Canis lupus familiaris: one gene and its partner. The main gene of each other region encodes a partner of the protein of the gene in region 2 in a complex. Links are inferred from orthologs where the notes say so. Each region holds a gene or a part of one and is shown on either strand. Other genes may lie near its edges.

Region 1 (15,695 bases), on a different chromosome or scaffold from region 2:
GCAAAGGTAAAGCAGCTACAATTCACAGACTGTGCATCGGGCCAGCCTCTCCTTCGAGTAGGTCCTTTTCCCTGGTGGGTCCGAGTGGGGAGCATTGCAGGGATGGAGCACCTTTGCTACAGGAGTAATGATGGAAGCCCTGCTCTGGCTGGTTTTCAGATTTCCCTGGCACCTAGTGAGGGATGGAAGCTGAGAAGCTCAGGAAAGGACAGGCAGGTCAGAGAGGAGAACCAGCAAGCTTTGGGGAATTACAGGAATTCTGAACCTCTTGCAGAATTTTGATCTAGACCTTTCTGTGGTCTCCCCCAGACTCTGCCCAGAGGCTGTTTCACCTCAGTCCTGCATCATTCAAGCACTGTCACAAAAATGTGCAGTGCCATCTCCACAGAGCAAGCTTTTCGGGATGAAAACAGAGAATACCAGCCTCTACACTCAGACCGGTCTGCCACCCTTGACCGGCAGGCTCCCTGCCTCCACTGCACCATCACTGCCCATAGGTACTAGGACCCAAACTTCTGGTCTCCAGGGCCTGCACGTGCTTAGCATTGAAGAGCAGGGCCAAGTGATAATGTCCTTCCACAAAGGGTAAAGAGATTCCCGGCGGGAGGAGGCAGGTTCATCACACACATGCACACACGTGCACACACAGCCAGAAGTTGAGGCCTGGATGGAGTCAGGGGACCAAAATGGTCATCCAAGGTTAGAGAGGGTTAGAAGGAACCTGGGGACACCCTCAGGAGGAATCAGATGCCCACTGCTGATTCAGGCAGCTAGTTCACCATTTTGCAGGGTATCCGTTTAGAACCTGGTGCCGGGGAGGCACATCAGTGCCAATGTGAGCAGGCCAGACACAGCTCCCGCCCTCCCAGAGACCACGGGGAAAAGAATGGAAGGGATGAGGGGACCTAAGCCAGATGAGGCCTCCTTGTCCCGGGGGCTCCAGGAATCAGACAACACCTTCACCTTCCACTTTGAAGGAGAAGTTCGTCTGATTTCAGGCTGCAGAGCATGCTGAAAACTTAACAGAAGGTTTATACCCCCTTTTAAAGTATTTTATTTTTAAACGTTTTTTTTAATTACTAAAATTGTATAGAGCTTTCCCCAAACGCGTTCTTTTTTCCATGACAGTAAATGGTCAATGGATTTTAGATGCTTACACATGTTTACATGAGGATTTCATCTCTTCTGTAGTAATGGTTAAAACATAATTATGAACAGTGCTTGTTAACCAAATAGAGATATTCCATGAGACAACGACTCCTAATATGGAGGTGTCCTTGGGCCGGGGCCCGCTTATCCTGGCTCCCATCTCCTCCTCCCGACACAGAGGTGCCTTCATTAGTGGAGGAAAGAAAGAGGTCTTTGTGATGATGTCATTCCCAGACCACCCTACACAGACAATAAAACTGAATTTGAGAGAAGCCTGGTGAAATGAGAGCTCAGAAATCAGAGAATACCAGAGCTGCAAGGGCTCTCAGAGGTTATGTAGCCTAATCCGCTGATGTGAGAAATCCTTTTCCAAAGAGGAAAAGGCCTAAGATTACACAACCAGTTAGCAGGGGATTATTTTCACCAAGGTAAATATGGGGAAATTCATTGCATGAAAACTCCGGTATCATTATGCACTAAATATTACGCTGGGCAGGAGGGCTACAGGAAGGGGGCTCTCACCATGGTGTGTGATGTGCACACCCACAGATGGTCACGGTGCAACGTGGCCAGTGCTACAACAGAACCACGGGCAAGGTGGCAGGGGATCACAGAGAAGGAAGTACCTCACTCCCTGGGGGAGCTAAGGAAGGCATCCAGCAGAAGGGGATATCCAAACTGGGTTTTAATGATTGAGTAGGAGTTTGTTGTATAGGGAAAGGGAGAAGGTCTTTCCATTCCAGAAATATGAAACAGCACATATACAGGTTAAAACACATGAAAGAACATGATGCATTTGGGGAATACAGTGTTTTGGTGTGGCTAAAATGGAGGATTTTTGAAAGGGAAACAGAGGCAAGACCAGAAGGGGAGCAACCGAGAAGGTCTTAAGTACCATGCTTAAGAAGTTTGCCCCGAGAGGGCATTATCTTTGTGTTTAAAAAACCAAACAAACAAAAAAACAAACAAAAAATGGTATATTGGCAAAAGCATGAAGGGTGAATTGAACAAAAAAAGGACCAGAGACAGGGAGACTAGCGGGATGGATATTGTAACATTTCAGGTGAAAAATAAAAATGGTAAAATTAGAAAAGAAATGAAAGAATCTCGAAGATGACAAAGAGCAGTTCTGGGGCCTGAGCTGAGGTGGGGACGGAAGGCAAAATCCACAGGCCTCCTGAAGAGTGGGCTGCACATGGGACGGAATACGGCAGGGGTGGGCAAACCACCACCCATGGGCTATGCCAGCCTGCCATCTACTTCTGTTCAGCCCCCTGCTAAGAATGGTTTTCACATTTTTTTATTTTATTTTTTTTTATTTATTTTAAACGTTCTGGAATTTTTTTAAAGATTTTATTTATTCATGAGAGACACAGAGACAGAGAGAGAGGCAGAGACAGAGGCAAAAGGAGAAGCAGGCTCCATCAGGGAGCCTGATGTGGGACTCGATCCCAGGACTCCAGGAACATGCCCTGAGCTGAAGGCAGGAGCTAAACCACTGAGCCACCCGGGCACACCTGGACGTCCCTGTTTTCACATTTTTAAATGACTGGGAAAGAACAAGAATATTTTGTGACATATGAAAATTACATGACATTCAAATTCCCAGGCCCACGACTCAAATTTTACTGGAACACAGCCACACAGGTTCAATCACTTACTGTCCATGATCTTAAGGGCAGAATTGAGGACAGGCACGGGGGCTAGAAAAGTCTCGAATGTTTACTATTTGCCCTTTAAGAAGAGGTTGCCAGGATAGAGGAAGACCATGGCCTTAGACAACTGATGGGATGGTGGAAGAAGAGGAGATTGGGGCAAGCGCCCAGGTAGCAATGCCCTCGAGGGCATGTGGAACTGGAGGAGCTAGTGATACACCTGGGAGATGGTGGACAGATGTGTCTGGACTATAGGTGAAAGGTCTGGATTTGAGATGTGGATTTGAGGGACACCTGGGTGGCTCAGCAGTTGAGAGTCTGCCTTCGGCTCAGGTCACTGTCCCCACTGCCCCCCGACCTCATCTCCCTGCTTCCACCTCTGTCCCCTCAGTCACTTGGCACCACACCAGAGTGATCCTGCTGGAACAGAAGTGCAGTCATGTTATTCCTCTACGCAAACCCCTGAAACCTGTTCATCTCATTCTGAATAAAGGCCCCAGTCATACAATGGTGTTCAGCGCCCTGCGCAACCCGCCCCTACCCTCAGTCTAATCCCTGAGACCTCACTACCTTCCACAACTGTATCCACTCTCTCCTCCAATCACAGTGACCTCCTTCCTGGCCCTTGACATATCAGCAGGTCCACTCCTGCCTCAGGACCTTTGCATGTGCCATTCCCTCTGTCTGCAGTGCTCTTCTCCAAGATATACTTATGGCTCTCTCCCTACCTCCCTCAGGTCCTTATCAGAAATATCCTTCTCAGGAGAGGCTTTTCTAGCCATTCCATTTTACATTGCCAACCATCTCTCAACCCTCACCACTCTGTTCCCTTTCCCTGCTTTATTTTGCTCTCAAGCACCTATCACTTCTCTAATACAACACACATAACCTACCAATTTATCTTGTTTAAATTAGACTAGTCTTTTCAGAGTTCAGTAAATGGTTACTGAAAGAATGAGGATAGTGGGTCAGGAAGTGACTAGAAGATAAGCAAGGGAAAGCTGTTACGGCAACTCTTTCAAGACCGGAGGTTGAGTAGCTTAAGAAAAAAACCAGTATCAGGAGATCTTCTTCAAATGGGAAAGACTTGGGTAGCCCGGGTGGCTCAGGGGTTTAGCGCTGCCTTCAGCCCAAGGCGTGATCCTGGAGACCCAGGATCGAGTCCCACATTACGCTCTGTGCATGAAGCCTGTTCTCCCTCTGCCTGTGTCTCTGTCTCTCTGTGTCTCTCGTGAATAAATAAATAAAATCTTTAAAAAAAATGGGAAAGACTTGAGCATATTTATAGAATGTTAGGGGGTAGAGCAGCATGAAAGAGACCAAGGGCATCTGGCCATGCCAGGTCTGGGAGGGACCAGAAATGGAGGGCCTGACAAACAAGGGGACAAGGGACCTCTTTGGAAGGGACTAGAGCAGGCCAGGAGCATGCAGGAGCATGAAAGAAAGTGTAGCTCTGGGCAAAGAAAGGGAAATTGAACAAGTTCATACCTGGTACTCAGTTTTCTATCTCAAGGTGTAGGGGGGAGCTTGAGTAGTGAGGGTTTGAGGCAGCACTCTGGAAAATGATTCGGGAAGAAGAGGATTGCTCAGCAGTGCTGGGGGCTCCCCCCCACTCCTGGAACCAGACATATGTTGCAGAGTTTGGGGATTTTTCCCCAGTTACACTGGAAGGCCAATGAGGACCAAAGTGGTAAGTCCAAGTATTATTATAAAATTCTTAAAGCCCTTTTTGGACACTTCAAGCACTGGACAAATAGAACTCTAAGGGATAATAAATGGATAAGTGATAGGAATAATCATTCCTGCTCACTCAGTTGAGGGCAACTCCAGCTGGCAAATACAATTCAAGATGATGTCCCTGGGGGACGCCTGGATGGCTCAGTGGTTGAGCACCTGCCTTCGGCTCAGGGCGTGATCCTGGAGTCCCGGGATTGGGTCCCATATCTGGCTCCCTCCATGGAGCCTGCTTCTCCCTCTGCCTGTGTCTCTCCCTCTCTCTCTTTCTCTGTCTCGTGAATAAATAAATAAAATCTTTTAAAAAAAAAAATAGATGGTGTCCCTGAAAAGAGCAAGTCTTGAGGATAGATCTGGAGAAAGAAAGATGAAAGGTGGCCCTTTGGCAAAGGACTCTGAAAATACTATTCTAAGAACCTACACAAGAGGGCTTTGTATAGCATGAAGGAGGGCTGGAACTGCCAAAGAGAAGATCCAGAGAAGAACAAAAGCCACTTCAATGACAAATCATGAAAATGGGACTATATATTCTAAAATGCTGAAGTATGGGGTGCCCAGGTGGCTCAGTCGGTTAAGCGTCTGACTCCAGATTTGGGCTCAGGTCATGATCTCAGCGCTGTGGAATTGAGCCCACCTGTGGCTCCACAGTCAGTGGGAGTCTGCTCGAGGGTCTCTCCCTCTGCACCCCCCTGCCTGCTCATGCACACGCACGCATGCACTCTCTCTCAAATGGATAATTTTTTTTAAATGCAGAAATATGACATTTTGGAAACAGGAGTATCTGACGTGCAAGGAAAGATCTCTAATTTCCAAAGGGACCAAAGCAGGGTTACCAGGGCTTCACACAGTCATGAGCTACCAGGCTGTCTGCAGAACCTGTAAAATGTTCTGCAGTCCGAAACAAAAAGACTATTTCAAATTTTAAAGACTATGTCAAATTGAGCTATCAATTTTAAGAGCTACCATTCATTATTCATATCATGCTATGCATATTACATACTTTATTCCCATTTTATAGATGAAGAAACAGACTTCGAGAGATAAGGACGCTGTCCTAAGTCACAGCAATAAATAAGGGGCTGGACGGGAAACAAACCCAAAGGTGTCTGGTCCCAAAGACCACACTTTTAACCTCCATTTTCTCTAAGGTTACTTCTTCTTATTGAAAACACAGGAGTGATGACTACTTTTGACATAGTCTTATGAGACTTTATAGTCATTCTATGATGTACGTAGTAGGTATTTGTAGGAAGACCTATTTTTATATGAAATTATTGACTAACTATTCTAACATGTATTACATGTTTCCAATCTTTGTGTCCTACCGTGGGACACAACAGTTGTCAAGTGAGTGAATGGCAGTCTGTGGAGCCAGGAAAATTCAGTGCTCAAGCACTGGGATAATATGTGGATAGGCTAACATCAGTGACCTTGAAGAATCACGTTCTAGAACATGGGGGGCGGGGGGGGGGGGATAGAAGAAAGCAGTTTCTGCAAAGCACAGAGCTGTGAGTTTACACAAGATCCAGAGTAAGATCTAGCCTTACTGTTACTGAAGTGATGGTTACTGTTACTGAAGCAGGGCCTGGGAAAGGTCAAGCACTGATCACCGAGATCCAGCACACGCTCACCAAGAGCAGGTCATTTCAGACCAACCCAGCTGCCTTCTTTGGGCTCGCAGAACTACCACCTGCAGCGGCAAGCAGCCGGGGCTGGGGGGTGGTGGGCTTCTTCAGAAGCAGCCAACTCACCATTTATATCTCCTGGATTAGTTAATAGGCTGAATAACAGAATCAGGACTTAACAGTTAAGTATAGCAAAGATAAACATTAGCACCTGGTTTTAAATCCCCAATTGCGCAAATCTGAGATAGGGAAGGGGATGGTTCAGGAGCAACACAAAAATGCTTTTGAGTAAATTGGTAGCCAACTCAACGAGAGAGAACAGTGTGATACAGCTGACAAAATAAGGAAAAGCAGCCTTGGCTGCATTACTAGAACCTGGTGTCTGTGCTAGAACAAAGGAGGGGACAGCCCTGTTCTAAGCTGGGTGGGCAGGACTAGAGCACAGCAAACTATGTGGGCTTCTGGGCAGCTCACTGTGAAAGGGCCTGCTGGTTATTTGCACACCCCCCCACCCCACTCCCCATTATGATCTCTGCTCTGCTCCTTGCCCTGAGGGAGCTGACCCCTACACACTGCAGTGTCCAGATACCTTGCCCGGTGACTTTCCACTGGGCCCAGCCAATCAGAAGCACCTGCAAGGGATTCAAGGGGAAGAAGAGAGAAGACGCAGAGTATCTCCTGTGCCAATGGCTCCCTGCTCCATCTGCACATTACTGACAGTCGCTGCGTCCCTCTACAGCTACACTTCCTGCCAGGCAGGCCCCCTTCCATAGTTCCAGCTCTCTGTGGGTTCTGGTGGGCTCCTCTGTCCCTACACCCCAGGTCTAGGAGTGGTAACAGCTTGCACATGTCTGTTGCTAGGTTCCTTATTATCCTTTCTGGCTTCCCCTACCCCTGCCCTCACCTCTGAAAATAGTCCCTTCTCTATAGTATTTTCAAAATCCCAACTGAGTAGACCTTCTGTTTCCTGCAGGGCTCCCAAATGCAAAGGAAGGGATAGGAAGCCAGCAGGCCATAAAATCATGCCTATGAGGACCGACCACCTCCTGGAACAGAAGATGCTTGTACTGGTGAAGGGAAGACTTTGGGAAACAGGCTAAACCACTCGGGGAAACGTGAAAGGCCACCATCGGTCTCATTCTCCTGGCCCCACAAACTGTGCAATTTTACAACAAACTTTTCTAAAGAGTCGCAGAGGTGGGCTGAGCACACGCGGTAGGTCACGGAGCTTCAGAAATTCTGAGTTGTTTATGCTTAGCTGGAGAGCCCACAGGAGGAACACAGTAGGCAAAAGGAGGGCAAAAGGGGCCTTTCTAAGCCACGACTTCATGATTTGCTCCCAATTGTACGCTTCGCAGGCAGCGGTTTACCAAGATAGCCAAATCAGGAAAAACATTTCGAGGGATGCGTTCTGCTGCTTCTCCCTCCAACACAGAAAATAGACGTGTAGCTCTTTGTATGAAGCCCGACAATTTCTCAGCACGGAAGTCCTCGTTGATGCTCTAGGATAACTCAGGAACGGGGAACTTGCTTTACATCCCGGCCACCCCAGCCTTCAAAAACGGCTATTCCCAAACCACCAAAGCAGTCTAGGAAAAATTCTATCTACGCATCTATGGCTAGAGCTTCTCCTGAACCGTCACTTCGGTTTTCAAACCAAACACCGGGATGTGACATCTGCCAATGAGACAAAATATCTTACATGCACATTGGAGGGGGGGGGGGGGGTCGCTTCATTTCACCCTGGTTGGTGGGGGAAAGACGATGCTTTTTTTTTCTTTTTTTTTTTTTTTACAAGAGCCCTCAGCTCCTGAGTGCACAGAAGGGTCCCACCGCGATGCTGCTGCATGGGATGATGCCCCTAACCCAGCTCTTCCCCTGGGGTGCAGGGGTGCCCCTACCGGAGGCCCGAGCGCTTCGGGGAGCCGCTCATTCATTCGGCGCACGTCCCTACTGCACCCCGGGGCGGGGGGGCGAGAGCCAGAGGCCACCTCCGCTTCTGGGGCTCTCGGGGCGCCCCACGCGAGCCGCCCTCACCCCGAGGCCTGCGACGGCAACGAGCGACGGTGCGGGGCCCCGGAGAGTTTCGCAGGGGCCTGGGGAGCGCCCGGGGCGGGGGTGGGGGTGGGGGGCGCCTCCGCCTGGGGGCCGCGGCCGCCCCCTCCCGCCCCCTCCCGCCCCCTCGCGCCCCCGACCCCGCGGGCCCCCCCAGCCCGAGCGGGAAGGCGGCGGCTGCGACCCGCGGGGCGCTCCCGGCCCCGGCCCCGGACCCCGACCCAGGCCGCGCCCCCGCCCCCGCCGCGCGCCCCGCGCCCCCGCCCCCGCCCCCAGCCCCGGCCGCGCTCACCCTCCTTGGCCTTCTTCCTCCGCGCCAGCGTCCCTCCGAGCTTCCCCAAGAAGGAGTCATCTTTCTTCCGGGACGGGGGCGACTTGGGGGTGGGGGACTTGGGGGCCGAGGGCGACTTCTGCGGGGACGTGGCCATGGCGGCGCGGGCCGGGACGCGGAGCGGGCGCTGGGCGGGCGCGGCGGGGCCGGGGCTGCGGCTTCCCGAACGGAAGCGGAATTATCCCAGGCATCCAGGCGGCCCGCGCTCCCGGTCCCGGCCCTCGCTCCCTCCCTCGCGCCGCCTCCGCCCTGCCCTGCGAGGGGCTGCGCGCCGGCCCTCGGCCCTCGCCCCTCGGCCCTCGCCCCTGGGGCCTGCGCCCGCGCCCCGGGGCGCCCGGAGCGGGGAGGGCACCCAGACGGGCCGCCGCAGGGCCTGAGGCCTGGTGTGCGTGTGTGTGTGTGTGTGTGTGTGTGTGTGTGTGTGCGCGCAACGGGGAGGGCACCCCAGACCTGCCCCTTGCAGGGCCTGAGGCCTGGTGTGCCTGTGCGTGTGTGTGTGTGTGTGTGTGTGCAACGGGGAGGGCACCCCAGACCTGCTCCTTGCAGGGCCTGAGGCCTGGTGTGCATGTGCGTGTGTGTGTGCAACGGGGAGGGCACCCCAGACCTGCTCCTTGCAGGGCCTGAGGCCTGGTGTGCATGTGCGTGTGTGTGTGTGCAACGGGGAGGGCACCCCAGACCTGCCCCTTGCAGGGCCTGAGGCCTGGTGTGCGTGTGCATGTGTGTGTGTAACAGGGAGGGCACCCCAGACCTGCCCCTTGCAGGGCCTGAGGCCTGGTGTACGTGTGCGTGTGTGTGTGTGTGTGCAACGGGGAGGGCACCCCAGACCTGCCCCTTGCAGGGCCTGAGGCCTGGTGTGCATGTGCGTGTGTGTGTGTGTGTGTGTGTGTGCAACGGGGAGGGCACCCCAGACCTGCCCCTTGCAGGGCCTGAGGCCTGGTGTGCGTGTGCGTGTGTGTGTGTGTGTGTGCAACGGGGAGGGCACCCCAGACCTGCCCCTTGCAGGGCTTGAGGCATGTGTGTGTGTGTGTGTGTGTGTGTGTGAGTGAAGCAGTGGGGGAGGGGACCCCCTCCAGCCCAGGAGCGCTGGAGCCTGGAGGCCACATTTTCCGCGGGCTCTGCACCCAACACAGATCCTGGCACAAATCGGGGTTCAGTGACCGCCGAACCGAAGCCCCTGCTGCTACTCCATCTCCCAGTGCCTTCACCCAGCTATTGGGTGACACCCTCACTCCTCCCCTGCATTTCTACCTGTACAGTTATCAGGCTGTGTCTCGTGTCCACGAAAGCGAGTGAACCGAAATGTGTTTCGGCACATCCATGTTCCTGCGGGCAACCTCTTCACCGCCATCCCGGAGGGAGAGGTTTGAAGGTCGTGACATCAGGGCTGAGGCTTCTTATTCTTACGAAACACCCGTTTGTAGAATCTCAATGGCGTGTACAAAGGAGGATCACACAAATGTTGGTGGAAACATGAATGGGAAGGTACGACCATGGGCTCCTGCGAAACAGCCCCGCACCCCAAATTTATCCTGCCTAAATGAAAGCAACAGAATAGCAACCAGACTCATTTGGGCTAACAGAGGAGTGCTACAAGCCCCAGGTTTCAAGGACTCTTGCTGAAAATGATTAAAAGGCACATTTATTGGGTTTGCTCCCTCCCCCCCAATTTTGGGCTCTCCTGACTGTGTCTCTCCCCCTCACTGCAGCCCCTTGGCAACTGTGTTTCCTCCAAGTAACTACAGCCTGTGGACCCTGTGTGACCACCTGACCCAAAGGGAGCTAATGTTTGACTGGAGAGCAGCCAATCAGATAAGCTCAGTCAAGAATCTGAGCAAAGCAAGAGACTGTTGTCAGAGTCAGGCACTTGGTGGTGATCCTGGAGATCCACTACTGGAGTGTTCATTTTCAGCTGCGTGCAAGGAGATGAGCAGAGAAGCAAACCAAGGGAGCTAGGAAGTGAGGTCAAGAAGCCAGGTGGTCTGACTAATGAGAAACCATAGGGGAGTAGCTGCCTGGACCTTGAATCTCTTCCCAGTACCCACTGCAGTTCCCCAGAGGGCCAGGCCGTGCTTCCTTCCTAGGACGTGTTCCTAAAGCTCTAAGTAACACATCCGCCTTCACTTGAGCTAATCAGCAAACGGACAAGCAATAATTCCTGAGAACAAAAATTTAACAAGACCTCCAATAGATTCCCAGTGGAAAATGTGTTCGTGTTATCTTCATGTAAGTCACGATTCTACTTTTTTTTCTTTTTCTGGAAAATTATACTTTAGTCGATGCCTCTTACCCAATAGAGAGCAGAGAAGTCATGATGACTGCTAAAATTTTACCCAGGAGCAAGGAAAGTTTATGACCCCCTCCCACCCTGATACATCTTAAGGAGATGTGGAGAAGCCAAAACAGATTTTGTTTTATATCACTAATCATTCTCTTTCGGGATGTTGGATACATACAAATATCTCCAACATCTGATCTCCAGCCCTGGGCGCTCCTGTCAGGGAATCAGCTCAATAGCTATGTGATCTTGGGCAACTCTGTTCACTTATCTGGGTCTCCGTTTCTTCATCTACAAAATGAAATAGTGGTTCTCTAGCCTGATTGTGCAACAACCCCGTAGGGAATTGGTGATAAACATCCACAGGCCCCATCCCCAGAAATTCTGAATATAACAGATCCGAGGCGAAACCAAGGAATAGGTTTTTTTGTTGTTTTTTTTTTTTTAACAGGGATTACATCAGGTGATTTAATGGGTCTGATCTACACATTGATATTTGGAAACCTAGAGCCACTTCCAGCTGCCACATCCTCTTTTCTCCACCAGTTGCTGGTATCTGTAATCAGGGCATAGGTCCTAAATATGGCACTATTCCAATTACACGTGGAGGTCTCTTAAATTTTGCGTGTGCGTGCTTTTGCATATACAGTCCTCTTTGGTGATGTTTATGCATACTAAAGTTTGAAAGCACCTAAGCAAGACTAAAATAAAAAGAGGAACAAAGTCTTGGTTGTTGAAAGCTGGCTCCCAGAAAATACCGGTAAAATAAGCTGTGGAGAAGACAAAGCTTCAATTTATTGTACACCATGGTAGGGAGAGCTCTGCCTTGGCAGAGTCTGAGTAGCAACTTGGACTGGGGGACGGCAGAAGGGGATATTTATAAGGTTTTGGAATCTGATTTAAGGTAGGTCTTTCAATGAGGGGGTGCTTGTTTAATTTTGGCTAAGGATCATACTAGTTTAGGATTGGTAAGTAAAAAGGCAAATCTTTTAAAGCGTCCTGGTGAGTAAATAATCTTTTTAATGTTGTTGAAAAGTTTAAGGGTCTTACGTTTATTTCGGTAAGGTTTTGGAAGAAGTTCTTGAAAGGCATAATAAAGTTATTTGTTTTTTTTTTTTAAGATTTTATTTACTTATTTGAGAGAGAGAGAGAGGGTGTATGATTGAGCACGAGCAGGGCTAGGGAGGTAGAGGGAGAAGCAGGCTCCCCACTGAGCAGGGAGGCGATATGGGGCTCCATCCCAGGACCCTGAGATCATGACCTAAGCCAAAGGCAGACGTTTAACCAACTGAGCCACCCAGGTGCCCAGAATAAAGTTATCTGTAACTCTTACCTTTCTGTGAAAGATATTTTTGGAATAGCTTTGTTGATACAGACAGTGAAATGATGAAGTCCTATTAAACAGTAACCTGTATGGGTATGAATGGTTCCTAGGGCCTCAACGTTTTGCAGATGTCTTGTTTTCAAACCTTCCTGCCTTTAAGATAATTATCAATCTTTCTTGAAAGAGAGATTCCCATTAGGGAATGAGCAGTGGATTATAAATCAGTACCCCTCCAAGTGTAGCCTGAAAACCCATCTTGATCTGCAAACTGTTATTGGTCCTCAGCGATATAAATACAGAAATTAAGAGTGTTTAGAAACTTTTATAGGAATTCAACAATGCAATCTTATATTTGTTTACTATGACAATAAAAATTGGGAGCTTATATTTAGAATATCTTTTCATTTTATTTTTCTGGTAATTCTTTTCTTATGGTATTTTCCAAAAATATTGGTCTGGGATGGATCAGTTCTTCACCATAGAGCATTTGGAAAGTGCTGTTCCAAATTGCTCCAGTTTGCTTACAGAGTTCACTCTCTTTTGATATTATGTGTTGATAGTCCTTATGGATATGATCTAGTTTTTGCTCAGAAGATTAAATGAGTTAGTACCTGAGAAAGCATCTTACATATAGGCTCTGGCACTGAAATAGATTGAATCTAAATCCTGCTTAATCAAGGGCACATACCTCATGCTGTTCTTTTAAAAGCTGCAAAGAAGAACCTGCACCAGTTCTCTCCACTGTAAATCAGTACCTGTAATTATGGCCCTACTGCTGAGCCGCCCTTCTCATGCTTGGTCATTGGACTCCTCTTATCCAAGGGTTAATGATAAGGACAGCTCACAAATGAAATGTGCTTTGCTGTGAGACTCTACTGAATCTCTAGGTCAGTCTCTCCATGAAATCTAGACCTAGACATACCGCCCTGAGAGAGTGCGAACCTGGTTCCAGTCCTGGCTCAGTGGCTGGGTGTCCCTGGATGAATGGTTGCCCCTTCCAGTCCTTCCATTTCCATCATCAGGGAGGTGAAGGCAGTCTTAAAGCTGAACGTCACACATAACCCGATGATCAACAATTTCAATCTAGGTGATACCCAAGAGGAATGAGGACATCTGTGCCCTCCCATACACCTTCTAGAAAGTTCGTAGCAGCACTGTTTGAATGCTTATTAAGAGTTGAGCCCATAAATAAATTGTGATAGTCACACAAAATGGAGCATTATACAGCGTGGAGAATGAACAATTTGCAACCACAAGGAACAACAGAGATGTGACTCACAATATTGAGTGAAAAGAAATCAGACACGAAAATAGCATATACTCTATGATTCTGGTCATATAAAGTTCAAAAACAGGCAAAACTAATCTCTGGTGTTAGAAATCAGGATAATAGTGAGCCTTAGCAGGGAGGCTAGTGACAAGAATGTGGCAAGGTGGGTGAGAAGGCATGAGGGGAGGCTACAGGACTGGTAGTGTTCTTTTTCTTGATCTGGGTACTGGTTATTCACTTTGGAAATTCGTGGCACATGAACTTAATATATTCTTTCAACAGTTTCCTATGTGTATGTGGTTCTTTTATATAAAATGAAGCCATGACAGTTCATGCCCTTTAGGGTCCCTTTTATTTCCATGGTCCATATCACTCAAAAATCCACTGGTCTCAGACTAGGTCACATCTGTCCCCAGACCTTCCCTTAGGAGATCATTTTTCTAGTTGAACAGGTACTGCCCTCAGCCACCCAGCATTGTTCCCACCCTGGTCTTTTCATCTTCCCTCAGCGATTCCAACAAGGAAAGGCGGTGGGGCGGCGGGGGGGGGGGGGGGGGGTTGTAATTCACAAGGCAGGAGCAGGCAGTGGTGAAAGTTTGGGGTTCGAATCACCATTCTGCAGTCAAGCATCTATGCAATCTTGTGCAAGTGATTTAACTTCTATGTCTCAGGTTCTCATCATAATGCGAACAAATGAACACTAGCCTCATAAAGTTGTTGGGAGGATCAAAAGAGTGTAAACTACTCTGCTGTTATCTGCCTAGCAGATAACAAGTCTTAGCTCAATAAAGTGTTGATTATTACATTTCATTGGAGACTCATAAATGGTATCATTACCTCCATTTTATAGGTAAGTTGCTTAAAACTCGAAGAGTTTAAATAACTTGCTTCAGATCAACAGCTGATAACTGAGAGATTAATACTATAGCTCTTAGAATCTGTTCTCCCAAATATCTACAGAAGCCACAATTTTCAGCTGGGATATGGTTCCTTGGAATAAAGACTATATTGCAGTCCTATGATAAACTTTGATCAATGGGTTGTGACCAAAAGTGTTATGCGACAGCTTCCAGGATTCCTAACACATAGATGGGAAGGGGGTATTCAGTTTCTCATGTCATCAGACTACAGGCCAAGCCCCCCACTGAGAACAGCTGGAAAAGCTGGACGCTGAGAGTAAAATAAATCTTGAGAGCACTGGAAAGCTGCCAAAACTTACAGGGCCACAATCTCGGAGAAGAAGGGACCCCAGAGAAGTGAGCCCATCACCCGGGACTTCTTTCCCCCAATTTCAGGAGAGGGAGCTGGGAAGCTGGGAGGTTGAACTGGACAATTGCCAATCTCACAAGGATAAGTTGACAAATGATCAGGGGCCACCAAACCAGGGGCCCCCCAGGAATCTCCCCCACTTGCTTTAGTTTGGGACTCTAAAAGATTACCCTTTGGTAGACAAAGAAAAAATAGTAAAAGTAAAAAGCACAACAGAGAAAAATTGTTAATAGCAGACCCAAACAGAACTACAGCATATGACGTAAAGAAAATCATTCCAGATGGAAGCTTGGTGACACAGGAAGGAAGAAAGCACAAACAAAAGGGTAAATGCAAAAGGATATTATCTAGGGGTGCCTTGGTGGCTCAGTTGCTTAAGAATGTGCCTGTTGGCTCAGGTCATGATCCCAGGGTCCTGACATTGAGCCCCACATCCAGCTCTCTGCTCGGCAGAGAGCCTGCTTCTCCCTCTGCTGCTCCCCCTGCTTGTGCTCTCTCTCTTTCTCTGTCAAATAAATAAAATCTTTTTTAAAAAAAAAAGCAAAAGGATATTAACTAAGTAAAATAACCATAATGTCTTATAGAACTTAAAAATGTAGAAATCAAATTAAAATCCACAGAAGTGAAAACATTTCAGTTAGGAAATGAGTAAATGGAGTTAGAGTTCCAAGGTCCAGTCACTGGGAAGAAGTACAGGTAACAATTTATACTGGACTTTGATAAATCAAGGTATTGTGTTGTAGCCTGTAGGGTAACCATTAAAGAATAGTGAGAGAGTAACTAGTAAGATAATGGAGAGAAAATTGGAGTCTGTGTGCTCCATTCAGATAGATTTCATAAATGGTATTTGTGATCTGTATCTGTCGTATTTAAGCAACTTGCCTTTTGCATTCTGGTTTCTTTTTCTTTGGTGTGTTACTTTTTGTCGTTGTATAGATTAAAAGCCCAGGATATGGAAGTAAAACGAGCATCCCAAATTAAGGTAAAAGTCAAACTGGAAGAGGTTTT
Region 2 (14,953 bases):
TTCTGGAAGGTCTTTTTAAGTGAAATCTGTTTAGAAATACTTTTTAATTAAATTTATGGCACAGGAATTAACTCTAAGTGCAGTCAAGTTCTTAGAGACAGAAAAAGGGTTTTGTTTAATGAGGGTATCGTCTAAACAACCTGGGAAACATGCTCACCTAAAATGGACTTGGTATTACCATAGTGAAGTTCATAACCTCCTCAAAGGGACACACTTCATTTAGTGGTTCTCAGCTGAGGGTGAGTTAGCTCCCCAATGGGTATTTGGCAATGTATAGAGAAACTTTTAGTTGTCACAACTGGGGAATCTAGTGGGTAGAGTGGTATTATTAAACATTCTACAATGTACAGGACAGCCTCTCAAAAAAAGAATTATCCAGCTCAAAATGTCAACAGTGGGGGATCCCTGGGTGGCGCAGTGGTTTAGTGCCTGCCTTTGGCCCAGGGTGCGATCCTGGAGACCCAGGATCGAGTCCCACATCAGGCTCCCGGTGCATGGAGCCTGCTTCTCCCTCTGCCTGTGTCTCCGCCTCTCTCTCTCTCTCTGTGGGACTATCATAAATAAATTAAAAAAAAAAAAAAATGTCAACAGTGCTGCTGCTTGAGGAAGCCTGGTTTAGTGTGTGCAAGCGTTACTTTATTTGAGCAGTACTCACCGGGAAGTGGTACTAGGGAGTGAGCTAACTTACTAGGTACGGTACATGCTACCTTGTAATTATCTTGTTAGAGAAAACTGAAATTCAAAAATGTTAAATAACTTGCAAAGCCAGCATTGCTGGGATTCATTCCCCAGCTGTCAGACGCTAAAATCTGTGCTGGCTTCTTCTGTATCCATCACCTCTCTTAGGCAGACTAATAGAGAATATAACCTAGAGGTCTTATATTATCTTGTGGGATTTATTTATTTATTTATTTATTTATTTATTTATTTATTTATTATCTTGTGGGTTTCTATTAAGAACTTAAAAATCATGATTGAAAGGTCTCCTGGCTTCTCTGCCAATACACACTGTGAACTTGAGAATTGGCCATCTGAACACAGATGAAGAGGTAATTCTATTGCGTGTGGAACCCTGAATTACTAGGTTCCTTTTTTGACCATGTACCGATAAAGACAATTCACCCTCTGCACCCACTGCACAAATCTGAGAAAAATGCTGAGGTCCTGAAATAGACTAATTATGGATACATGTTTCCTGAGAAATCCTAGGATGCCGGCTTCACTGGCAGCTTCTCTCAGTCAGGGGACCCTCTAAAGGCAAGACACTAGGCTAGAAGCTGTTGCAGATGTACATGCTGACAACCTGTAAAATCACATCATGATTGTTTTCTAAATACAACTATCTTCCATTTATTAAGCTCTTTTACCAAGTAGTAGGCACTCTGCTGAAACATTATAAACATCATCCTATTCTAGTTTTCAGGAGATTCTGGGGCGGGTGGGGGGGGGGGTCTGTGCTCAGGTAGATTTAACTTCTCCCTATTACCAAACAGTCTATAATACTGTGAAGTTTTCATATCTTTTAATGATTCAATCTTGGGCAGTCCAGTTTAACCCACTGTAGGGTAAGTTCCTTAAGACTCTAGCCAGCTTGCTCATCATTCTACTCCTAGAATGTAACATGGGCTGCCTGACACATTGTAACTGCCTAATGAATATTATAAACATTGTTAAATGGTGAATAAAGGATGAATAAACAACTCTTGTGGAAAATCTCATGAATGTCTGACAGACTGAAGTTCTTTGGTCATCTCCAATCTGTGAGAGTTCCTCAGTCTTGCACTGTCTTACATGACCTTGACATTTTTAAAGGGTACTGGTCAGCTGTTTTATAGAGTGATCCTCATTATGGGTTTGTCTCCTGATTAGGCTGAAGTCGCAGATCTGGAGGGATAATACCACAGAGGTTTAATGTGCTCTATTTCTTGCATCATATTGGGGAGTACATAATCTCAACAGGATTTCTTAATGGTCATGTGAACCTTGATCACTTGGTTAGGACGGTATCTGCTAGGTTTTGCCACTGCAAAGTTACTACTTTATACCTCCTCTATTTTTTTTTTTTAAAGATTTTATTTATTTGAGAGAGAGAGAGAAAGAGAGAGAGAGAGAGAGAGAGAGAGAGAAAGAGAGCACAAACCAGGGGGAGAGGCAGAGGGAGAAGCAGACACCATCTGAGCAGGGAGCCTAACGTGGGGTTTGATCCCAAGACCCTGAGATCACGACCTGAGCTGAAGGCAGACACTCAGCTGACTGAGCCACCCAGGTGCCTCTATGTTACCCTTTCTATAGCCCCGTCAGAAGTGAGTCATTAAGTCCAGTCCATATACAAAGAGAGAATTGTGCTCTTTCTTTTCCATTTAATATATGCTCTTGGAGATAGAGTTTAAAGTTATTTGAGTCATTTAAACAAACTGGGAGGAAGGGAGCTTTTAATATAAGAAATAGTACTCTAAGTATCAGAAGTGATTATATTAAAATCCCAACTAGATATAACATGTTACTCAATAACAGAAGATTTTGGTAAGGTCAGTACCCTCCCAAAGATCATTCTTCACTATGACTCTTCCATTATACCTCCTCTGCAAAACACACAAAAATTAAAAGTAATTGCATTTAGTGTTATGTGTCTATAAACTACTTTCAAATAATTTGGCAGGAGATGGGTGTGGAGGATGTGTGTGTGAGATGCACAAGGGCACATGATACTCGTATTATTCTTTCAACTTTTCTGTAGGTTTTATTTTTTAAAAAAGATTTTTATTTATTTATTCATGAGAAACACACACACACACAGAGACAGAGACAGAGACAGAGAGAGAGAGAGGGGCAGAGACACAGGCAGAGGGAGAAGCAGGCTCCATGCAGGGAGCCTGATGTGGGACTCAATCCCAGGACTCTAGGATCACGCCCTGGGCCAAGGCAGATGCTCAATGGCTGAGCCACCCAGGTATCCCTTTTCTGTAGGTTTTAAACAAAAAGTTTGTTTATTCAATACTATCACACTGGCCTGAACTAACATATCAAGTCAGCGGTCCACATATGGTACTGAAAATACATCATGGCTCAGGCTTCTACTCAAAACTGAAATCTCCTTTGTTTCTATTTAAGAATTCATTTCTTTCATCCACCACTCTGGACAACAAAGCCTGGACAATGTTCATGGGATGAACGACGGGTAAATGAGTAAAGTGTACCAAGATTTTGAAGTGTATGTTAGAAAATGTCTGCCTTGGCTCCTAGTGGGTATATTAGCATTTTATCTTGCCATCTTTACTATCCAAGTACCGTATACACGGGATTGTATTTATTAAGCACCTAGTAGTCATCAAATACTGTATAACAAACGATAGAAATACCAAATTAATGAGGACAGTCCCGACACCAAGGTATTTAAAGTTAGAGGGAAAGAAGATAAACATATAAAGAAACATGTACAATGCTCTCCAAACTAAAGATATAAACAAAATGTTGTGTGTACTTAAAGAAGATAAACCGAAGTGAGACAGATGGGAGTGTCCTGAGAACATGACTGATGTGGTCTTGTAATAAAAACACCCTGAGTAAAGCAGTCATTGATGACAGAAGCTATGGAGCCCAAGAATCATGAGACCAACTTTTTATTCTTTGGTGGTGATGGATTACAGTCTTGATGGCAAACTTTAAGTTCACTAGCTGAACCACATGATCTGGTGGGACTGAAGTTCATCTTGAGTTAAGGAGCCAATGCAGGTAATAAACCTGGATGCTGCTAACTCATGCTTAAGAGGAGCTGCAGATGAGCCAGAAATAGCTGAGCTCAGTCAGCTTACCTCCAGACAAACATCTTTGTGAGTGGGTAGGAAACTAGTGTAGTGCTAGATTCGCCTTCAGGGCCATAGGGAGGAGCATCCTGGCCATCTGATCCAAAGTATCAGACATTCCACAGTAAAAGTGAATCCCATTTTCAAGGGGAAGTAAGTGCAGAGAACCCACGTAGAAGTCTTCAGAACTAATCCTATGGAGAAAAGAGTAGGGACTATGGAAATAAGGGAAAGATGATGTTTTAATAATAAGACAAAAGCAATATCAAAGCTGTAGAGTGGAAAGGACACATTTACTATTAGTTTTTTAAAGGATTTTATTTATTCAGAGACAGAGTGAGAGCGGAGTCAGGGGAGGAGCAGAGGAAGCAGACTCCTGAGCGTGGAGCTTGACATGAGCCTGATCTTATGATGCTGAGATCATAACCTGAGTCAAAATCAAGAGTTGGTCATTTAACTGACTGGGCCACCCAGCCACCCCACATTTGCTATTATTAGATACAGCAAGACTAATGTATGTACGTGTGTCTCACATGGAAAAGCAAGCCAGGTAAATTTTGGGGCTTCCTTTTCAATAACTGAAAATACAGACTATTTCTTGGAAGCCTTGGATAGCTTTCTCTCTAATATCATTCAACTAAAGGAAAGGCTGGATTTTCCACGTGCAGGTTTACAAATTTCTGGCCTTGGAAATGGGGTTTTGATGATAAGCATAGCTAAAATAGCAATCTTCCTCAGGATCCCAAGGACCTTAACCTGGGCAACAGCCCATTAATAGACAAGTTCTAAGTATTCGTAACATTCTGGAATAATATCAGACAGATCCAGGGAGCATATTTATAGTCCATAAGTGAAGAGGAGTAAGAGGTGGGCAGGAGGACAAGTGTGAGTCATGCTTTATTCTGTTCTGCCAAAAGCTCTCACAGAGCTTTCCCTCTGACTAAGCACAAGTGGCCTGGCAACTGACAGGCTGCAGATGAAGAACCAGGACCTTAGGGGGTGATCATGCTTGACAACATTATGAATTCCAAAGTGCTCGGCAAACCGACCATATAATATGGAATTAATGTTTGGAAACACAAACTCTGTCTTTCTCTTTTGGGTCCTTTTTTTGCTCCCCTGACTCTCTCCTAAGGCTTCTGCCATAACTACTCACTTTAATAAAAATATCTTAAATTTGGGACACCTGGATGGCTCAGTGATTGAGCGCCGCCTTCAGCTCAGGTCCTGATCCTGAGATCGAGGACGGAGTCCTGCATCAGGCTCCTCACATTGAGCCTGCTCCTCCCTCTGCCTATGTCTTTGCCTCAATCTCTCGCTCTGTGTGTGTCTCTCATGAATAAATAAATAAAATAAAAAAAAAAAATCTTAGATTTGAAAAGAATATTCAAGGGAAAGAATACCATATTGGGCATTAGTAACCAAACTAAGTTCTAATCCCATTTGTGTCACAGATCTGCTGTGTTACAGGGACTTTTCAACCTCTGTGGGCCTAGAGTGGGGGAAAAACGTAGGGGTAAGGTTGGGATTGACAGAGTATGAAGGCTCATTTCCTCAGGAGGCAGACTCCTGACTCTCTTAAGTCACCTCCTGGCACGCCCCTGCTGTGCTGACCTGAGAACCTGAGTGTTCCATCAAGACACAGAAGCAGGTCTTGTCCTTTTACTCCCGACTGAGGACCACCCTTCTTGCCCTTGCTCCCTTTCTCTCCCTGCTTCCCAGACCCCTAGAGATTTCCTTTTCTTCTTCAGGAATCTGTCACTCTCCTCATTACCACTGGCAGCCTCTCCCACAGTCTTCAGGGGGACCTGTCACCTTGATGCCAAGAGGTGTAGCCCCTGCTCCAGCCGCCTCCCTGCCTTCCCTCCTACTGTGCCTCTCTTGACTGTCACTTGCCATTCCCAGCTCAATGCCATGACCTTTGACAGAAAAAGAGATCTCCCTGCCCAGGGAAAGAGGAAGAAATGAAAGCAAAGAGAACAAGGATTCCTGTTCCTCTTGCTAGGGTTTTTATAGTGGGGAATGCAGCTTCTAGGATACAGCAGGAGCTCAAAAATATGTTCTGGTGAATAAAATAGTGCTCCCTAATCAAATCTCTTAAAGCTGTTATGTTATTATATACAGGGCAGTTTTGTATGTTATGAGCATATGATGGGCTTAATAGCTTTTCTGCAGGCTGGGCTGGAAACCTGTCTCTCAGGAGGCATTGTTTCTATGGGAAAATGTGGTCTGAGTGGCAAACAATTGACTTACTAATGACTGTTAAAAATTACCTTTCCTTCCTCAGGAATGGCTTTTAAAAGAGGGAAATTAAAAAATGTGCTAGGCAAAGAAGAAATCAAAGCACAGCCATTTCTGGCTATACCATAATTCTATGTATCTATATTATTGTAGAGAGACACACATATATAAGTATGTAAGGAATAAGCTGGTAAAAGTATACTATCTAACTGGGCACACACACACACACACACACACACACACACACGCCTCCATAGACTAGCCCCCTAAACAGACATATTCTGTGAGAAGGGGTTTCAGTGATGGTAAGAAGAAATACAAAGGAAGTACAGACACCATGAGGTAACACAGGAGAATCAAGAACAAGAATTTGAGGGGTACCTGGTTGTCTCAGTTGGGGAAGCATGTGACTCTTGATCTCAGGGTTGTGAGTTTGAGCCCTACATTGGGTATGGAGATTACTTAAAAATATAAAATCTTAAAAAAAGGGAAAAGATTTTGGAAAAGAAGATACATAGTATAGCTTAATATGGACAGACTATCCCTCCAAAATAACCAAACAAAATCCTCCTTAGCAAATAAATGCATGGAAGCTCCTACTCGTTGCATGAAAGGTAGGTAGGTAATGGATGCCCTGCTTTAGAGAAGATATTTCATGGTGCTCTGAGTTGGGGAAAGACAGAGGCAGGCATTATTAGTAAGGCATGTGTAGGGGGCATACAAGTGGGGACCTGAGTGGAAAAGCCAAAAAACCTGTGGCTAATGTTTATAAAAGGACTCTGCTGATGTGTGCAGGTCTGAAAGGTGGAATCACAAGGTACTTAGGGTTCTGAAAGAGGGAGGCGGACTGAACAATATACATGGGGGGCGTCTGTCAGGGCACTCTGCACATGAGCCATCGCTCAAATACCATATACTTCAATACAATTTTCACACCAAAATTTAAAGCAAAGAAGAATGCCTCAAAACAAGGGGAAGGGCAGAGGAAACAGTGCCCTGTGCTTCTGTCTGGGCTGACTCACCTCATAGAAGAGTCCCTCTGGAAACTGCTGGAAGCACTGAGCACACACGAAGCACTGCTCGTGGTACAGCTCCCCGTTACTGTTTACTATCTTCTCGGCGGGTGCAAAGCCCCCCTTGCAGCGTTCACAGGTGGCGTTGGCCAGAGCATTGGCCATGTTGCTGTAACACACAAAGGACAGGGAGTCACAGACTGTCTACCTTTTCTTAGACTTCAGACCAAATGACATGAAGAACTGAGGAGAACATTCTATCTGATCACAAAAATCATATTGCAGCCGTAAAGCCCAATTTCTTGTGTCTTAAGAACTCAAACTGCTCCCACCTCTTTGTGGGTGTTCAAAGAGCCTCCTGCTTGGATTCTTTTTCTTTAGCCTTTCTGACATTCTTCTTGCTAAATATACTGTGAGTACCTACTTCCTGTGAGGAACTAGGGATAGAGACAGAAGCCAAGCTTTGCCCTCCAGGAAGGAGCCTGAGGTTACAGCTTAAATAAGCAGCCTAATTAAAATATCCACAGGTCACCATCTCCAGGCCACTATCTCTCCCTTCTGAGGACAGAATCTAAACTGCATGTCAATTGAACACTGAATCCTGACACAGGTTATCTCTCTGGTTAGATCCTGCTGAAAGCAACTGTTGCAAGTAGTTCTTTTTTTTTTTTTTTAAAGATAGATTCATTCATTCATTCATTCATTCATGAAAAACACAGGGAGAGAGAGGGGCAGAGACACAGGCAGAGGGAGAAGCAGGCTCCATGCATGGAGCCCGATGCAGACTTGATCCCAAGTCTCCAGGATCACACCCTGGGCTGAAGGCGGCGCTAAACCACTGAGCCACCTGGGCTGCCCGCAAGTAGTTCTTAAACCAGACTGCCTTAATCCTGTAATCTCATTGGTAAAACAAGCATTGAACGCTAACATTGTAAGTTGTTTCTTAAAGTCACAGGATACATTGTGAAGATCCTTTTATGGACATGACACAGGAGGTTCAGGGAATTGGAGTGACCAGCCCAATGTTGTGACATGGTGAAGCTCAGTAGTTAGGGGAAGACATAGGACCAGAATCCAGAGTCCCTGTTCATAAAATCACAACCGGATTACGGTATCAATTTTGAACACTCAAGAGGACGTGATAGGGACACCATCACACTTTGCACATCAGGCAGTCACATTACCACCGATGACCCCAGTGACCTGGTCTCTCTCGCTTGCTGTCAATCCACTGCACCGTGAAACATACAAGAGGCACTTGATAAATGGACCCGCATCCTAACTAACCTTTGTGGAGTCTGGAAGAAGAAAAGTATATACTCAGATAATTATTTCGTTCTAACAAGCCCTGAGTTTCACATAAAGAACTGCTTCATTCTAAAAGGCTTTGAAGTGGGGAAGGTCACCTAACCAGAGTCATTGTTGGCCAGTTTGTTCTTCACAATTGGCAAGTTTATTTTCAGATGCCCAATGAGAGTACAAGCTCTACCTGTGTGTCTAGTTGCCTGGTGCAGCCTGTACCACCCAGATATTGAGTCAATCCACCTCAAAAAGTTATGGCCAACATTCTCTAGAATCTTCACAGCTACCCTATCAGGCAGGTGAGGAGTTTTCATCTTACAGACAGATTAACTGCCTTGTCCCCTCAGTTTTCCTGTTTCCTTAGCAGAAGGGCTCACACATACCTTGTCTCACCTCCATCCCACCCCAGTGGAAGATACCTTTGCCTTCTTGTCCCAAATGTTTCAAAGAATAGTATTGCTATTCTGTAGCCTTTCCATAATGAGCCCCATGTAGAAGTACCACATTCATAACCACATATCAACTCACACCTCAACTTTACTTCATAGGTTTAAATATAGAATTAAAACATCACAAAAAAAAAAAAAAAAAAGAAAGAAAAAAAAAAAGGAAGAGAGGCAGCCTCAGTGCTTGGCAAATCTGGCCTAAGTCTCATACTAAAATAAATTTTCTACTTTGTCATTTTAAAATTACTGTGGGTTATGGAGAGAAATGCGTCACATTCCCTTCTTCATGTGGCTTTGGCATAAGCCAGATGAATTGTAGCAGTTTTAGCAAAGCTCTTGGAAGGGTCTGCACTTCCCCTTTCTCCTAATCAAAATCTGCAGGTGTCCCTGGATGAAGTATGGTAAACCAACACCTGCCCTAATATCGTTTCGAGGAAAAAATTTTTAAAAAGTATATAACTCTGAAAGCCAGAAGATGCTACCCAAATATAAAGGCATCATTATTAATTTTGAATCCTCTCAAAAGATTCACCAGATCCTTATAATTTTCACAGAACTCTCAAAAAGCAGGAAGAGAAGGACATTCTGGAATATCCTGCTCCATTATCTAGATCAAGTAGTTCTCAAAGTATAGGGGTCACTGTGACCCATTTAGGGGTTCAAAAGGTCCTTTTTCCACCTGCATCTGTGGGAGGCCTATTTTCTTTGTATATATATCTAAGGCAACATATAACACTAAGATAAATGCAGAAACAGAACTGAGAAACTGTCTTAGACTGTCATTAATGAAGATTTGAAAATATGTAATTCAATGCCACTTTTCCCACCAAACTTTTTTCATTTTGGAAAGAGTTATTTTTCATAAAAATTAACACTTATGAATAAATGCATAATGAGTTTATGTATCTCAAATGAATACATATTTAATTTTGTTCTTAGTTTGTATTTTCAGTAAATATTGATAAGCAAAAGCTCTCTGCAGACCTCAATACCTTTTTATTATTATTTATTTATTTATTTATTCATTCATTCATTCATTCATTCATTCATGAGAGACACAGAGAGGCAGAGACACAGGCAGAGGAAGAACCAGGCTCCACGTAGGGAACCCGATGCGGAACTCGATTCCAGGTCTCCAGGATCACGCCTTGGGCCAAAGGCGGCACTAAACCGCTGAGCCACCTGGGCTGCCCTTAAGAGTGGAAAGCAGTCCTAATATCAAAGCATTTGTCACCTGTTTCCTACTCATTGTACTAAACACTGTTTATATTCTAATTCAAATACTGAAATAGTGAGAAAATAGGTAGACAGTTTCTCATACACAGGAAAAATAAACTAGCTTTGGAGATAATATGTATTTTTGAAGAAGTATTCCTTTTAATAACAAGCAGGATAAGAAAAGAAACTACATTAGAGGAAACTTTCAGGAAAGAACCCCTAATAATCTCACTAACCTACTGAACTGTTTACATTAACTTTCCTTTCTTGTCTTTGACCCTCTGGCACTATATATTTCTTTCAATTGACTGTTTTTTTGAGCAGTTTTAAGTTTACAGTGAAACTGAGGCAAAAGGAGTCGAGTTCCCCTTCATCCCCACGTGCAAGCCTCCCCTGCTACCAACATCTCTACCATAAACGTAGTCTGTTATGACTGATGATGAATCTACAGTGACCTATGCATTTGTTTATAACTGTTTTTATATATAAAAGTTACATTTTAGAAGTCATGAATGATAGTTACAACTGTCATCTGGCTAGTTATAATTAGTCGGCTAATTTTTCAAAAAAGGATTTTTGCTAAGAAGTATTGATGATAAAGAATATATATGTTGGGAAATATATATGTAGAAGCCTTTAGTACAGAACCTTCACATTTGGCCAGTAATAACTGATTTACCCAATCCACTTCTACAGATGAACCATACACAGAAAACTTGGTATCACTGGGCTTTTTTTCAAGTGTCTCACTGTTAAAAGTATGTAAAACAAATTTGCTGGCATCAAAACGAAAAAAATGTGTAAATCCAAAAAGCATCTTAAGAGTCCACAGAGCATTTTGGTTACAGTATAATTATAATTGCCCAATTACATTTATTTTTTTTTTTTTTCCCCATTACATTTAAACAGAACTCTTTATAAGTCGTGAAAACAGAGGACATCTGTTATAATACCACACATAATAGATTAATGGAAATAGAGAATCAGGTCAGTTAAATTCCCCTTAACTCATGATTGACAAATTGAGGATTTGCAGTTAATTCTAAGCTTATGACTTTGCGGAAGATCAACAATCTTCCATGAGTCTAACTACTACTTTGCACTACTTTTTAAAATTGTTTGCTAAAACTCATTTAATAACATGAATTAGACTTTTTAGAGTTAATGGCATATATATGGCATATATATATACACACACACACACACACACACACACACCTATATTTGCTAAATACACAACATTCTTATTTATTGATTCAATCCCCTTAAGACAATATTAAGAAATCCAGTTTGCCTACCTCAAATTGCTGTTAAACCTAACAAAAATGTGTATCTTTATCAACAGTCTGTAATTCAGTTTTACTGTTTCCCTCAACCAACTTGTCATCTGTGGGAAGTTTAAGAGTATACAATCTTTCTATTATAAACCCTGCCAGCAGCAACTCTAAGCCTCCCCCTTGGACTACATAATGAAAATGTACTATTATGAGGAACCTACTGAACACAAAGACATTACTACTATTACTTTAAAGGCAGCATTTTCCTTTACTTCTGCATCTCATCTGGTGTATCTCCCCGCCTGCTGGAATAGGCCTCCCTCCCCTCCATCACTCTGGAATGCCCCTGCTCAGAGTCGAGGAAATAAAACTATCAATGGCTACTGAACTCAAAGCCCAAGCAGACTAGATCTGGAAGATAGGAGCTCCTCTTCCAGGAGAGGAGACACTTACAATTTTGCATAAAAGTCACAAAACTCCTTGTAGACCTTTACGTCACTGTGCCTGCGCTGTAATTTGGACACAGCCCGCTCGTCTTCATTGCCATTAGCCTGGTGGACACTGTTAAGGACTGCCTGGGGGATTTCTTCATTCTCTGGGATAACACAAGGGTGCACCCTGCCCGGGAACGCCATCCCAGGGTGCCTGAGAGCTCCAAGCCCGGGGCAGAGAGTAGCAGGGCAGGGGACGGAGAAACAATATCCAGGCCTCCCCTGCTTCCCTGCCAGGGTCACTCCCACTGTTCCCACACACGTCAGCCCTGCGTTTGCCAGGGTCGCTCCTGGCCCTTCATATTAAGAGCTCTAACAGCAAAGCAGTCACTTGCTGTGCCAGTCCTGAGTTTTGAGGCATTTCTGGAAGCTCTAGAAAACATTCCCCAGAGCAGTGACACAGTCTTTGCTGGAGCAGCCTTCCCGGCAGACTGTGTCTGTAAACACTGCTTCAGAAATAGAGGACTGGTTGGCAGGGTCCAAGAGAAACAAACATCCACATGCCCTGGGGGATCTGTCACCAGGCATTATCCACATGAACACTGTGGTTCTTGTAAAACACCCTCAGATATTGTTTCTAACAAGCTCCCCACTGAGGCTAACGCAGCTGGCACACACTGGGGGACATCTTAATGCCCAGGACATGCTTGTCAGCTATGCCCATGGCTATCTTTCACCAAGGATCTGTGAGTCCCTAAGAATTTGGAGCTACTTTTGACTCTTATTGATCCTAGCAGTTGGCACATAGCAAGAGCTGGATGATGTGTTCAATGAATGGACACGAGGAAATAGGAAAGAGTTGGGCATCTAGTTAGAAACCCTCAGCTAATCCTGGTCTTTATTATGGTTAAAGATGCTGCTGGCATTCCTGCTATAGTCAGTCCACATTGCTGTCATCTTGCAGCAGTACTGCAGAAGAGGAGGGTGATGATGTAGGCCATGGGCAATACAAGGGCTCAAAACATTTCTCCAGGAACAGTCCTCTGAGCACCAAGGTGCCCTCCTAACCAAAATTAAGGTACCAAGGACCACTAAAGAAAGAAACACTAGAGATGAGAGCCATGAAATCAACAGCAAACAAACAGACAAAATGCAGCTGGGACTTCCAAGTAACAACTAATAAATAATAATGCTATGCATTATGCTCATTATTGCATCCCTTATAAGGTAGGTATTATTTACAGGTGAGGAACTGAGATTCAAGGAGGCTGAATAACCCAGTAAGTACGTGGTAGAGTCAAGATTTAAATCTAGGGAGCTTCATCCTAGAGCCTATGTTGTCAACTACCATGTGAGAAAATGGTTAAACACAATCACTGGAGAACAAAATAAGTTAACTAGAAAAGATTAAGTAGTAGGTACAAATGAGATAGAAGCCCAAAATGAGATCTAGTCTTCCCTCTTTGAACCCTAAAGATCTCAGAGTACAAGTCAGAAATTAAAAGGCTGTGGGCTACGGATCCTCCCCAAGCCCCAAGCCTGTGGCTAATGCAGTAGGAAAAATCATCATTTTTAAATAGGAAAGAAGTGACCTCCTGGTTGAAATGGTGAATGAGATCTTGACATTTACAGCAACCTGGATGGGCATAGAGGATATTATGCTAAGTGAAATAAGTCAGGAAAAGACAAATACTATATATATAATTTCATTTACATGTGTAATCTAAAACAAAACAAAACAATGAATAAAGAAACAAAAGCAGAAACAGACCCATAAATACAGAGAACTGATGGCTGCCAATGGGGGAGGGGTGTAATGTGTGGGGGGAATGGGTAAAATGGGTGAAGGGAAGTGGGAGATACAGGCTTCCATTTTGGGGATAAGTCACAGGGATAAAGGCACAGCACAAGGGATATAGACAATGGTATTATAATAGCATTGTATGGTGACAAATGGTAGCCACGTTTGTAGTGAGCATGCCATAGGTTATAAAGCTGTCAAATCACTGTTGTACACCTGAAACTAATATAATAGTATCAACTATACTTTAATTTAAAAAAACCACACACACACACACACACACACAAAACCAAAATACATACAAGCAAAAATTTAAAAAAATTTTGGATAAAATATAGGATAATATAGGAGAATAGTTTTTTTATATGAAAAGGTTTTTTGAAGATTTATTTATTTTAGAGAGAGCGAGCAAGAGAGAGAGGGTACATGAGCATGCACATGGAGGGAAGGGCTGGGGGAGAGAATCTTCAAGCAGACACCCTGCTGAGCATGGAGCCCAGATTGGGGCCCTATCTCATGACCCATGAGATCATCACCTGAGCTGAAAACAAGGGTCAGACACTCAATCAACGGAGCCACTCAGGCTCCCCCATAAATTTTTTTTAAATAAAATTGTATGGGTGTTTCCAGTAACTGATGCATTTTTTGATCCTAGCAGTTGACACACAGCAGGAGTTGGATGATGTGTTCGTAATACATTCATTCATGCCTGAGGAAAAAAGCTATCAGGCTCTATTTGTTTTCCTTATGATATTCTTACAGTTTTTTTTTTTTAAAGATTTATGTATTTATTCATGAGAAACATACAGAGGCAGTGACACAGGCAGAGGGAGAAGCAGGCTCTCCAGGGGCCTGCTGTGTGACTCAATCCCAGGACCTCAGGATTACAACTGGAGCCGAAGCCAGAGGCTCAACTACTGAGCTCCCCAGGTGCCCCTATTCTTATAGTTTTTAATCCATACTAGTTACAGTGATTGCAAATCATGTTCATTCTCCTGCCAGAAACATCATTAGATCCAAATACTCAGCCCACACTGATGTGACACTACTTGGAGATACCAAGCAAAGGGCAGAATGCTGAAGGAGGTCCTGGAGACTTCCCTTTCTTTCAGTTCAAACAGTTTCCAGGGGATTATGCTATTTAAGAAATGCTATGTTAAGGTGAAGCAGGTAGGAGACCCTCCATTGTTTCTGCTTTCCTCTACTTCCAGCTGGGACAATGTTACTGAGTGTGTGCTTGGCACATAGTAAGTCCAAATAGACTTCAATAGAAGTTACCTCAATAAGAGTCAGTTTTGGGGCAGCCCGGGTGGCTCACTGGTTTAGCATCACCCTCAGCTCAGGGTGTGATCCTGGAGACCTGAGATCCAGTCCCACATGGGGTCCCTGCATGAAGCTTGCTTGTGTCTCCGCACCTCTCT

The links.
Region 1: LIMS1 (region 2) and PARVA share a complex: the UniProt entries of both Homo sapiens proteins name them as parts of the heterotrimeric IPP (ILK-PINCH-PARVIN) complex. The link is inferred for Canis lupus familiaris from reciprocal best matches to the Homo sapiens genes LIMS1 and PARVA.

What each region holds. Positions count from the first base shown.
Region 1 is NC_049242.1:35,979,748-35,995,442, reverse strand, and holds the start of PARVA (alpha-parvin), read right to left. Parts: upstream 8,675-15,695; 5' UTR 8,647-8,674; coding exon 8,511-8,646; intron 1-8,510. UniProt on the Homo sapiens protein: Plays a role in sarcomere organization and in smooth muscle cell contraction. Required for normal development of the embryonic cardiovascular system, and for normal septation of the heart outflow tract.
Region 2 is NC_049231.1:36,267,505-36,282,457, forward strand, and holds the start of LIMS1 (LIM and senescent cell antigen-like-containing domain protein 1), read right to left. Parts: upstream 12,005-14,953; 5' UTR 11,936-12,004; coding exon 11,754-11,935; intron 7,227-11,753; coding exon 7,067-7,226; intron 1-7,066. UniProt on the Homo sapiens protein: Within the IPP (ILK-PINCH-PARVIN) complex, binds to F-actin, promoting F-actin bundling, a process required to generate force for actin cytoskeleton reorganization and subsequent dynamic cell adhesion events such as cell spreading and migration.